Linked DNA regions of Kluyveromyces lactis. The protein of the gene in region 3 interacts with the protein of the main gene of each other region in a pairwise test. Links are inferred from orthologs where the notes say so. Each region holds a gene or a part of one and is shown on either strand. Other genes may lie near its edges.

Region 1 (2,799 bases), on a different chromosome or scaffold from region 3:
CAATGGCTGCAGGGTCTTGCTGAAGTAGAGTCTTTGCTGTTTTCAAACGATGCCTTATACTCGAAGTAGCCGCATCCAGCGAATTTGAACTGTTATTTGGATGCTTACTAATTTGTTTCAAAGAATGGTAAAGGAGTGGTATAAATTCAGTTTGTGTTGATGAATGTTTCGTGAGAATTTCATGAATTCGTTTCAAGACATTTAGTTGTTGTTCCCCGGAACTAGGTTCTTGCTCCTTCTCGGTATCACCGGTCATATTAAATCGTTGATTGGGATGGGTTGGAAGCCTTCTTTTTTTTTACTATTCCTCGTTCCCATTCGACTATTATTGAGAAGTCTTCGAAGATTTCGTTAAGCCTTAATTTTTTGGATATATAGCCAACAGATAATTTTATGTAGATTGACAATGATAATATAAAGTGAACCGAGTACTTATATCAATGAATATGTGTGTTTTACTACATGCTCTTGCAGGAAATATCTACTTTAAATATAATTGTACGTACAGGCAGCAAGTTCAGCACTTTCCTTCTTTAATTCAAAACTTGTGATTTTGGATCAAATTCTTGATCATATCTCTTGCAGTCAAATACACCGTTCTGTATAAGGTGTAGATGTCTAAGGTACTTGAGAAAGTGTCGAGGAATCCAAATGGTAGCATGGCTGGAATCCATCCCTGGGCCAATTCCAAAGCAAAGGATCCGCTTGGCATGGAATATTGCTTGGCATAACCTTTTTTCAAGTGATGAGTTTGACCTGGTTTGTAAATTTCAGGTTCCATGTTATATGGCAAACTGGCCCTCTGTTCACCGTAAAGAATGGTGAAATGGTCATCAGCAAAGTGTACACCGGTGTGACCTTCAGTACCAACGGCACTACCGAAAATAATCAAATACTCGCTGATACTAGCATGCAAGATAATCATTTGACCCATGGCACCACCAGCATTGTTGAACACCCATTCTTCATCAACCCATTGGTTGATATAGTCATCACCGTAATGTTTGGCCAATGCATCTCTTAAATCTTTTAGCATCACCTTAACATCGAATGTTTCGGATTCAGCGTCATATTTGCTGATAACAGAATTGGATATCTCGTTCAATGTCTTTGCATCAAAAATGTAGTTGGTTGGCAACCAGGTATATAGTAAACTGTTCAACAGATAGTACGCTGTACCTAGTAATAGTGCAATTTTCAAAAGCTTCATGGCGAATTACTAGTTTCGGAACACAAGACAATTTACTCCAAAAAGATAATTTCTCTCCGTTATATTTCACTTTCTCAACCTTTGGATTAGTAGCTCATCGCCAAATTCACTTTCGCTTATCATACCTTATATATATATATATATATATGGATGTTTTCCATAATTTTTGTCGTTTATGCTCATCGGAAATCCATTCGAGACTGAATTTTTCACACAGTACTCGTTTATATTGAAAACTCAGAAGAAGCTGAAGAAAGGTACGAAATTCAAGAAACTTACCGAAAGCTTAGTCTTGGAGTAACAAGCTATATGATTTACATTATTAAAGCTTGTTTTACTAATACATATGACCATTATTAATGTGACTATATATATGTGTATCTATATAGCCTGTATTTACGAGATGGGGACAGAGAGATGTAGAAAAGAGTGAATTGTGAGTATTATATGATACAGGTGGATCTCATTGCTGGTTCAAGCACCTGTGCTGAACATTTGTAGTAGTGACTTAGCTGCTTTCACTGATACCGGTGTGTATCCGGATGAGATCGCGGATGTTGATGCGTATGGTTTTGCCGGGTACCTTTTCTCCGGTGTGATACATTGGATGTGTTGTTGCGAGCACACTGCCAAGTTTGAAGTCCCATTGTTATTATTATTAGTTCTTGAAGTAGCTTCTATGGCCGGATTCAATCCAGCCAACTTTCTGGATTTCCTGTCATTTTCGGGTTTCCTTATCTTGTTAGCTGACTGTTTCTTGCGACTTACTATTTCTGAGAACTTCAGGTGCACTTGTTTGGTTCTGTACTTATAGTACGCTAGCTGAACCCTTGATCTAAGTCTAAGTATATTTTCATCAGTCAGTTTTGAGTTCTTTTCTGTTAATTCGTTGTTTATCCTTTCTTTAACGTCATGTAGAGCTTGAGGTGGTGTGCTGTAGAACTGGCTGGATGAAGTTTGAGTGTTTAGGACTGATGCTAATGAAATTTCTGAATTGTTGAACGATTCTGTCGATGGACTATTAGAAGGAGTGTTTAGCTGTGGTCTCACAGAACGTTTCCCCTGATGAAGTTTGTTCTCTTGACTCAATACGTTCAGTTTTGAGCTAGATATTTGCCCCAGTGGTAATCTAACTGACATTGTAATTGAAAAACAGCGAAAACTAACAGTAACTTTGTAAATGCCTAACCGACTACTGTTCTATGATGTGTTGTGAAGCTCCTGGTTCTTGTAATGAATAGCAAATCTTTGAGAGAGTAAAGGTCTTCCTTGTCAATTATATATCACAATCCTAACAAAGTATTTACAATTGTCTTCTAAACTGTGAGTTTAATAACCAACGGAAATCGGAAAATCAGTTAACAGCTGTAGTATATGTAAACAACTGTATTAGGATCTGCTTATTTAGTTTGTTGAAATGTCAATCACTGACTTATTCACTCTGGAATATCACTGTGCACAGAGCTAAAAAAGAAATGTGTTCAGCGTATTACCTTTCAGGCCAATAACGAAAACACTAACAAAGACGGTTCTTTGTTTACAATTTGCCCAAAAAAGTACAACATTTCACGCGTCGCGTTCTCGAAAAA
Region 2 (2,863 bases), about 600 kb from region 3:
GGGAACCTGAATGATATCGAAAACTCGGAGGAGAGCTTTTTCTGGAAGACCCTAATGGAGATATTTGAAAACAAATCTCTTATCTTGAGTAAAATCAAAGATATTAAAGTGGTGTTGAAGAATATTTTCACAGCTTATTCTGTCGAAGAGACAGTGAAACTTCTTATTTTACAGATTATCAATCAAAGTGCATCATCAGATATTACAACCTATATGCACAGAAAAGAACATGGTTGGGCAATTCAGTCTCATGAGTGTGAAGTATGTGGCAAGAAAATATGGGGAATTGGAATCGATAATAAAGTCTTTGAACAGTGGGAGTCAGCGAGATGCCACGAGGTCGCCGCTAGTGGTAGCAGTGCACTCGTTGTATTTAGTTGTGGGCACAGTTTCCACAGCTCCTGTTTAGAAAACATGGGCCAACACGAGGGTGCTTTCAAATGTTTAACTTGTGACGATGAGTAAAGTTATAGATAGACATAGATATATACAATTCATATAGAGTTGGCCTTTATAAGCCTTCATCCATCCATGCCAACGTTCTTCTGATACCTTCTTCGATATCAACCCTTGGTTGGTATCCTAAAAGTTCTTTAGCTTTTGAAATGTTGTGATAACGGTAGGCACAAACGATTTTAACTCTGAAGGGAGTCAAACCTGGCTCTTTGCCCAACAATTTAGAGAAGAATTGAGATAGGTACCCCGCAGCAATAGCCATGGGTCTATTTAGAACAATAACTCTCTTATCAATATGACCGTCTGCCTTCCAAACCGTGCGTGCCAAAGCCCAAAAATATGTTGGTGTGTCATTGGTGATGAAAAATGTTTCTCCAGATACTAGCGCAGCAGTAGTTGGATTCAGAAGCTTTTGTGCGGCTAGTACGTGAGCATCTGCAACGTTTCCAGCGTAGGTCCAGTCGAACAGGTTGTTATTGTCACCAATTTGAAACTTTGATTGCCCCAACTTAGCGACTTGCCTCAAACCTGGGACCAATTGTCTATCACCAGGACCAAAAATACCGGCAGGACGTAATGCTATTGTTAGGAAGTCATTTTCTGGATCGTTTGCTGATAGCACCATTTCTTCCGCAATTGCCTTTGTTTCGTTATAACCATCCATTGGAACTTCTGGAATTGGCCAAGTTTCATCAGCATTGTGAATGTCCTGACCATTGAAAATAACACCAGCAGATGAGGTATATACTACTGCTTTAACTCGACATTGTTTTGCGACAGTTAATAGATTTTTTGTTCCCTTAACGTTGACCTTTTCGTAAATCTCTTGACTATTACCATGCATTGGAGATGCCGAGTGAACGACGATCGTGGCACCACTTGTCTCAATTGCCTTTCTAACATCAGCAGGTGACGTTAGATCACCTTGATGGAAGGTAATTGTCGAAGGATCAAAAGTGAATTGTTTTGAGATCCGATCTGGAAGTGGTCTTACGTCAAAAACATGGATCTGAGGTTGTGGTTTAAGTTCAGAAAATTGCTGAATCAAATGGAGACCTAGAAATCCAGATCCACCAATTAGTAGTACAGATTTAACATCGCTTGAACTCATAGTAGTTGTTTGTTTTACGTAGACTCAACGTATGATAAGAATTCGATTTGCCTGGTGTGATCTTGAATATCGTGTTAACGTTAACTAATATTCTCTAATTGTTTTTTTTTCTGAATATTAAAACAGAACTAAACGACAAATTTAAAGTGTCTCCCAAATTGTGAAATGGTCGGATAGAAAGATAACGTACTAATTAATAGCCATTGGTTTCTCCTTTCCTATACTTAATGATCACAATAATTTAGGTTTCTTGATCTGTTAGTGGTTAGAGTGTTGTTAAGCCAGAGTTGTATTTTTGCTTTAACATACAATTAATTAGTTCATTTGTACATACAAATTGTCCATATGCAATAGAATCCTTAGATAATGGCAAATAATAAATAGAATAAATAAAAAAAATATTTTCAGAAAATAATAAAAAATAAGTTAAAATAAATTCTTCAAAAAAATACAAAAAACATAATTAAATTCTATAAAATAAAGCAAAATTCACTAAAATCAATCAAAAGTAACACAAATGTTAGCATTCAATAACAGTTCTACCTTCAAATAAATAGTAAAAACGCATAAACAGGAACGAAGATTATAGTACCTGCTCAACTTCTTGACAGTGGAGTCTGTCGTACGTAATGTATTCAAAAATTAAGTAAAATCATAAAACATCATGTGACTAAAATCAAATTTTACATTTTCTCTCTTTTTATATAAAATAAATTTCTAAACTTTTACTTTATTGCAATTAAAAATATTTTTTTATTAATTTTATATTGAAAAAATTTTAATTAAAATAATGTGGAATTTTGAATTTTTTAAAATAAAATATATGTTTTGAAAAATTTTAGTTTCCGAAAATTAATTTATTTATGGTATTTTGCTTAAGCATAAGAAGTGAAATTGGCTTAAAGCTCTAAAAAGGATAGGAGCCATCTTTTTATGTTTGCTGAGATCCGAAAAAACACTAGAGCAATGCCTCTCTTTTTTTTACGGATACATGGCTTTTCCTTTCTGTTATTTTAAGAGTAGCTTTGATTCATATGCTCAATGTGACAGGATAATATCTACAAGAATAATCTCAACAAAGAAAATAAAAAAAATTTAAAAAAATGTCTGTGAAACGATTAGCATGCTTGTCTGCCTCAAGATTGATTTAATTTTTGGAGTGTTAACGTTAGGTAGGAATGAATCAGATATTGAAGATTATAATACTTACATATTGTTCTTCATATGCATACCCTGCTTCTTTCTGGCATGGGAATCTTTTCTTTTCATTTCTGTAACATGAAAAATTAAAAACCG
Region 3 (3,173 bases):
TGTCTCGGTTTCCGCCTGTACAGTTGATATTTCTAAAGATGAATTGGAACAATGGTCACTGGCACAAAATATTCAAGAACAACTAGAAAAATCCAAAAGTGATCCCGCAGCTGCGATCGAGTATATTAAATTGCTTAAGCAGGTCAATGTAGCGAAATTTCTTAAGTCGAAATATGCTGCAACCATTCCGGAGACTGCGTTCGAGTTATCAAATTTAGGTGTCTTGGATCCATCTTCTGCTAATGATGAATATCAGTTACTTAATGCTCAGTTCCACCAACCAAAATTTGTATCAAGTATACTATGCTGTTCGTCAATTTCTACCAGATTGGGTGGTCTTACAGTCAATATTTCATATCCTCCAACCCTTGACAAAGTTTTAAGACCATTGTTTGAGGATTTATAGATTCTAACGATGCTCTGGTATGCATATTTACCTTTAGCAATAAAACTCGGAGTTACTTTTCAGAGTTTAGCATAGCCATAGGCATTATTATGTAAACGTTTGAATGCGCAGATAAGAATCTTGTAGAATTGGATATTTAATATACGTAAGGGACAATTTTGTATGGTACTTTTCTTTCATACTCTTCCCAGAATACACCATACTTATTCCTGCACTTTTCTTCGTCTCTACTTTGTCTATGCAACAGTAATGCAGCAAAGTAGAAGAAATAATAATACGTTAGTGGGGTTTGGAATCCCGTGGCCAAACACCAACTCAGAGAAATCAACAAATCACCAAAATAATTAATGTGCTGGGAAACAGCCCACCAAGAATCACATAATAATTTTGTTCCTTTATCAGTTTGGATGGATTTTAATTGCGGTAGCTTTCCTTGTCTGAAATCTGACTTTTGCTTATTTGCAGAATGGAAAATCCAATAACCTAGTAACATTATAATAACAATCAACGTACTATGGGGCAGGCCAAACTCAATTGGTGAGACAGCTAAATATCGAGCCTGTAAGCAGTAAGTGAAAGGAACCAAACTCAAATCGCCAAAAGCTAGCATGAATCCAAAGCCATCAGTAGTGATATCCATCATTGTCAACACCCCTTCCTCATTCAAAACCCCATCAAAGATATAGAAACCCTGTAGAACATTTACCAATAACAAAGAGTCATAAATTTTACCAGATTCCCTATAGCTGTGGTGTAAGCATGAGAGATTGATCAAAAACCATAACAACATACCCGGTCTTAATTCTGCAAACATCTTGATGTCAAGAGGACCAATTCTGGGATTCAACTCTCTTCCAATGAACCAATCATACAAAATGTTCCCACTGTTGCCCCCCACAGCAAGAATACGTTCTTTAGTTCCTTTGCCATTTGTTCCCCATAATGGCACGAAACTGCCAATATAGACGAAGCAAGCCAACAAGAAAGAAAACAATATAGATATTATGCAGATGTCCGTTTGATGTTCGAATAAATACTGTAGTTCAGGCATTTCACCATTAGTCAATTGATATCTGACAGCTAAAACTAAAGTAAGTGCCATTGACACGGCAATTCCGTTAATCTTATATGGTAGCTTAGACCCATCTCTCAACTCGACACCGTAGAGTTTCGTGCCTGGTAAGAGAACATCCAAAACTGCTAGAGAGAAAAACCATGCAGAGTAATAAGTCCAAAGCTCACCATTGAAGAGATAACTGGATAATGGATTTACCTTGTTCCAAACTTCGATCCAGCTAAAGTTTCTGAATAGCCCTACGATATGATAGTCGGGTCTGATCAACTGGTTCAAGATGACAGTTAGAATGGGTAAGAAAACTGAAATCAGAAGGGCTCCGACCGGTCCAGAAAACTCATAATGAGTGGTCTTAGGATTTAAAGCTGTCATTGTTGCTAAGGACATTGGGTATTCAGCGCATTATAATAATAATATATACTAAATGCAAAAGTGATTTAGCCTTCTTTCTCTTAATTCTGTACTTTTCGCTACTTTATACTATTCTTTTTTTTAAGGTTCATGCTTGAATACGAAAATTGCTAAACGACGAACACATGCAAGGGTTCTATTTGAGAATGTAAACCGCTTACTTAACACGCACCATTGGGCAATCCTCTAATCCGGTTTTTTTCTATTGCTAACCTCCATTAGAAGTAAGGTATGTCATCACTGAAATGATAAGCGAGGTCTCCCTTGGCAGTGTCGGAACAGTAAACGAGCTATTACAGGTTCATCCACTAAAAATGTTATATTTTCTGGATACTCGGCATGTCATTAACCTAAAAAAACCACAAACAGGTTTCAAGAACGCTCATATTGCAGAATAGCATATATTTTGTCACAAATAATGTAATATTATCGTCATTCTGATAGCTATGGCTAGGGATCTGTAAAAGGTCCCAGCTATGGGCGATACCGTTACATAGAAGTATAAGTCCATGCTCTGCATTTATCCAAATTCCGTAAGTTAGTTTGGCATTCACCTCATCTTTTGAAGCATAATTTAAGCAAGTTAAATGGTCCAATTTTTCAGTGAAATTATCAATCGGATCACAGCTCATGATGAAGGTGTACTCCTTATGATATCTTTGTAAAGACCTCAAAAGCTCCACTCTTGTCAGCCGCTTGGCATTTGACCAAGCAGAATATTTGAATGTAATATCATAGAATAAGTCCCGAATGTATGCCCTTGTCAATAGCCCAAGATTTTGCTGAAGATAAATCTGGGCATATTTAGGATGTCTTGGTTTTTGAGCTTCGAAATTTTCCATGATTTTAATGAACTGTTGCCGATACTCTTCACATAATCTGTTCATTTGAAAATGGTCGTAATTGGTCTTTTGTAACAGGCGAGGAAATATTGAGCACTCATAGGAGTAGTGATCCGGCCAATGAGATTCACTTGACACCAACGTTGCATCCATTGAAATATTTTCATCAGCATAAGAAAATGGTCGTATATTCAAATAATGCTGATAAAGTCGATTCTGGCGTGGTTCGAATACTTGAAATGGTTCTTTTTGATGTTCCGATCGTTGAGTTAAGGTTATATTTGGACAATTTAACAACCAAACTAGTAGACTATAATTTCTTGACTCCCTAGCAAGCCTAGTTCTCAAAGTTTTGATAAATGAGCTCGGCGGCAATATCCTTTCTGGATCAAAATTGTCCGCAATCAGATGGGATCCTTTAAATAAAGACAAATTAACA

The links.
Region 1: the proteins of ERG24 (region 3) and ERG2 interact in binary tests that used the Saccharomyces cerevisiae proteins (3 or more experiments, as listed by UniProt). The link is inferred for Kluyveromyces lactis from reciprocal best matches to the Saccharomyces cerevisiae genes ERG24 and ERG2.
Region 2: the proteins of ERG24 (region 3) and ERG26 interact in binary tests that used the Saccharomyces cerevisiae proteins (3 or more experiments, as listed by UniProt). The link is inferred for Kluyveromyces lactis from reciprocal best matches to the Saccharomyces cerevisiae genes ERG24 and ERG26.

Annotation. Positions count from the first base shown.
Region 1 is NC_006042.1:615,238-618,036, forward strand, and holds ERG2 (C-8 sterol isomerase ERG2), read right to left. Parts: upstream 1,211-2,799; coding exon 539-1,210; downstream 1-538. Other genes in the region: CSE2 (Cse2p), read right to left, coding at 1-256; NRM1 (Nrm1p), read right to left, coding at 1,685-2,350. UniProt on the Saccharomyces cerevisiae protein: C-8 sterol isomerase; part of the third module of ergosterol biosynthesis pathway that includes the late steps of the pathway. ERG2 catalyzes the reaction which results in unsaturation at C-7 in the B ring of sterols and thus converts fecosterol to episterol.
Region 2 is NC_006039.1:1,635,923-1,638,785, forward strand, and holds ERG26 (sterol-4-alpha-carboxylate 3-dehydrogenase (decarboxylating)), read right to left. Parts: upstream 1,568-2,863; coding exon 512-1,567; downstream 1-511. Other genes in the region: CORVET complex membrane-binding subunit VPS8, read left to right, coding at 1-465. UniProt on the Saccharomyces cerevisiae protein: Sterol-4-alpha-carboxylate 3-dehydrogenase; part of the third module of ergosterol biosynthesis pathway that includes the late steps of the pathway.
Region 3 is NC_006039.1:1,040,619-1,043,791, forward strand, and holds ERG24 (delta(14)-sterol reductase), read right to left. Parts: upstream 1,869-3,173; coding exon 543-1,868; downstream 1-542. Other genes in the region: SLI1 (N-acetyltransferase), read left to right, coding at 1-406; NDJ1 (Ndj1p), read right to left, coding at 2,243-3,173. UniProt on the Saccharomyces cerevisiae protein: Delta(14)-sterol reductase; part of the third module of ergosterol biosynthesis pathway that includes the late steps of the pathway. ERG24 reduces the C14=C15 double bond of 4,4-dimethyl-cholesta-8,14,24-trienol to produce 4,4-dimethyl-cholesta-8,24-dienol.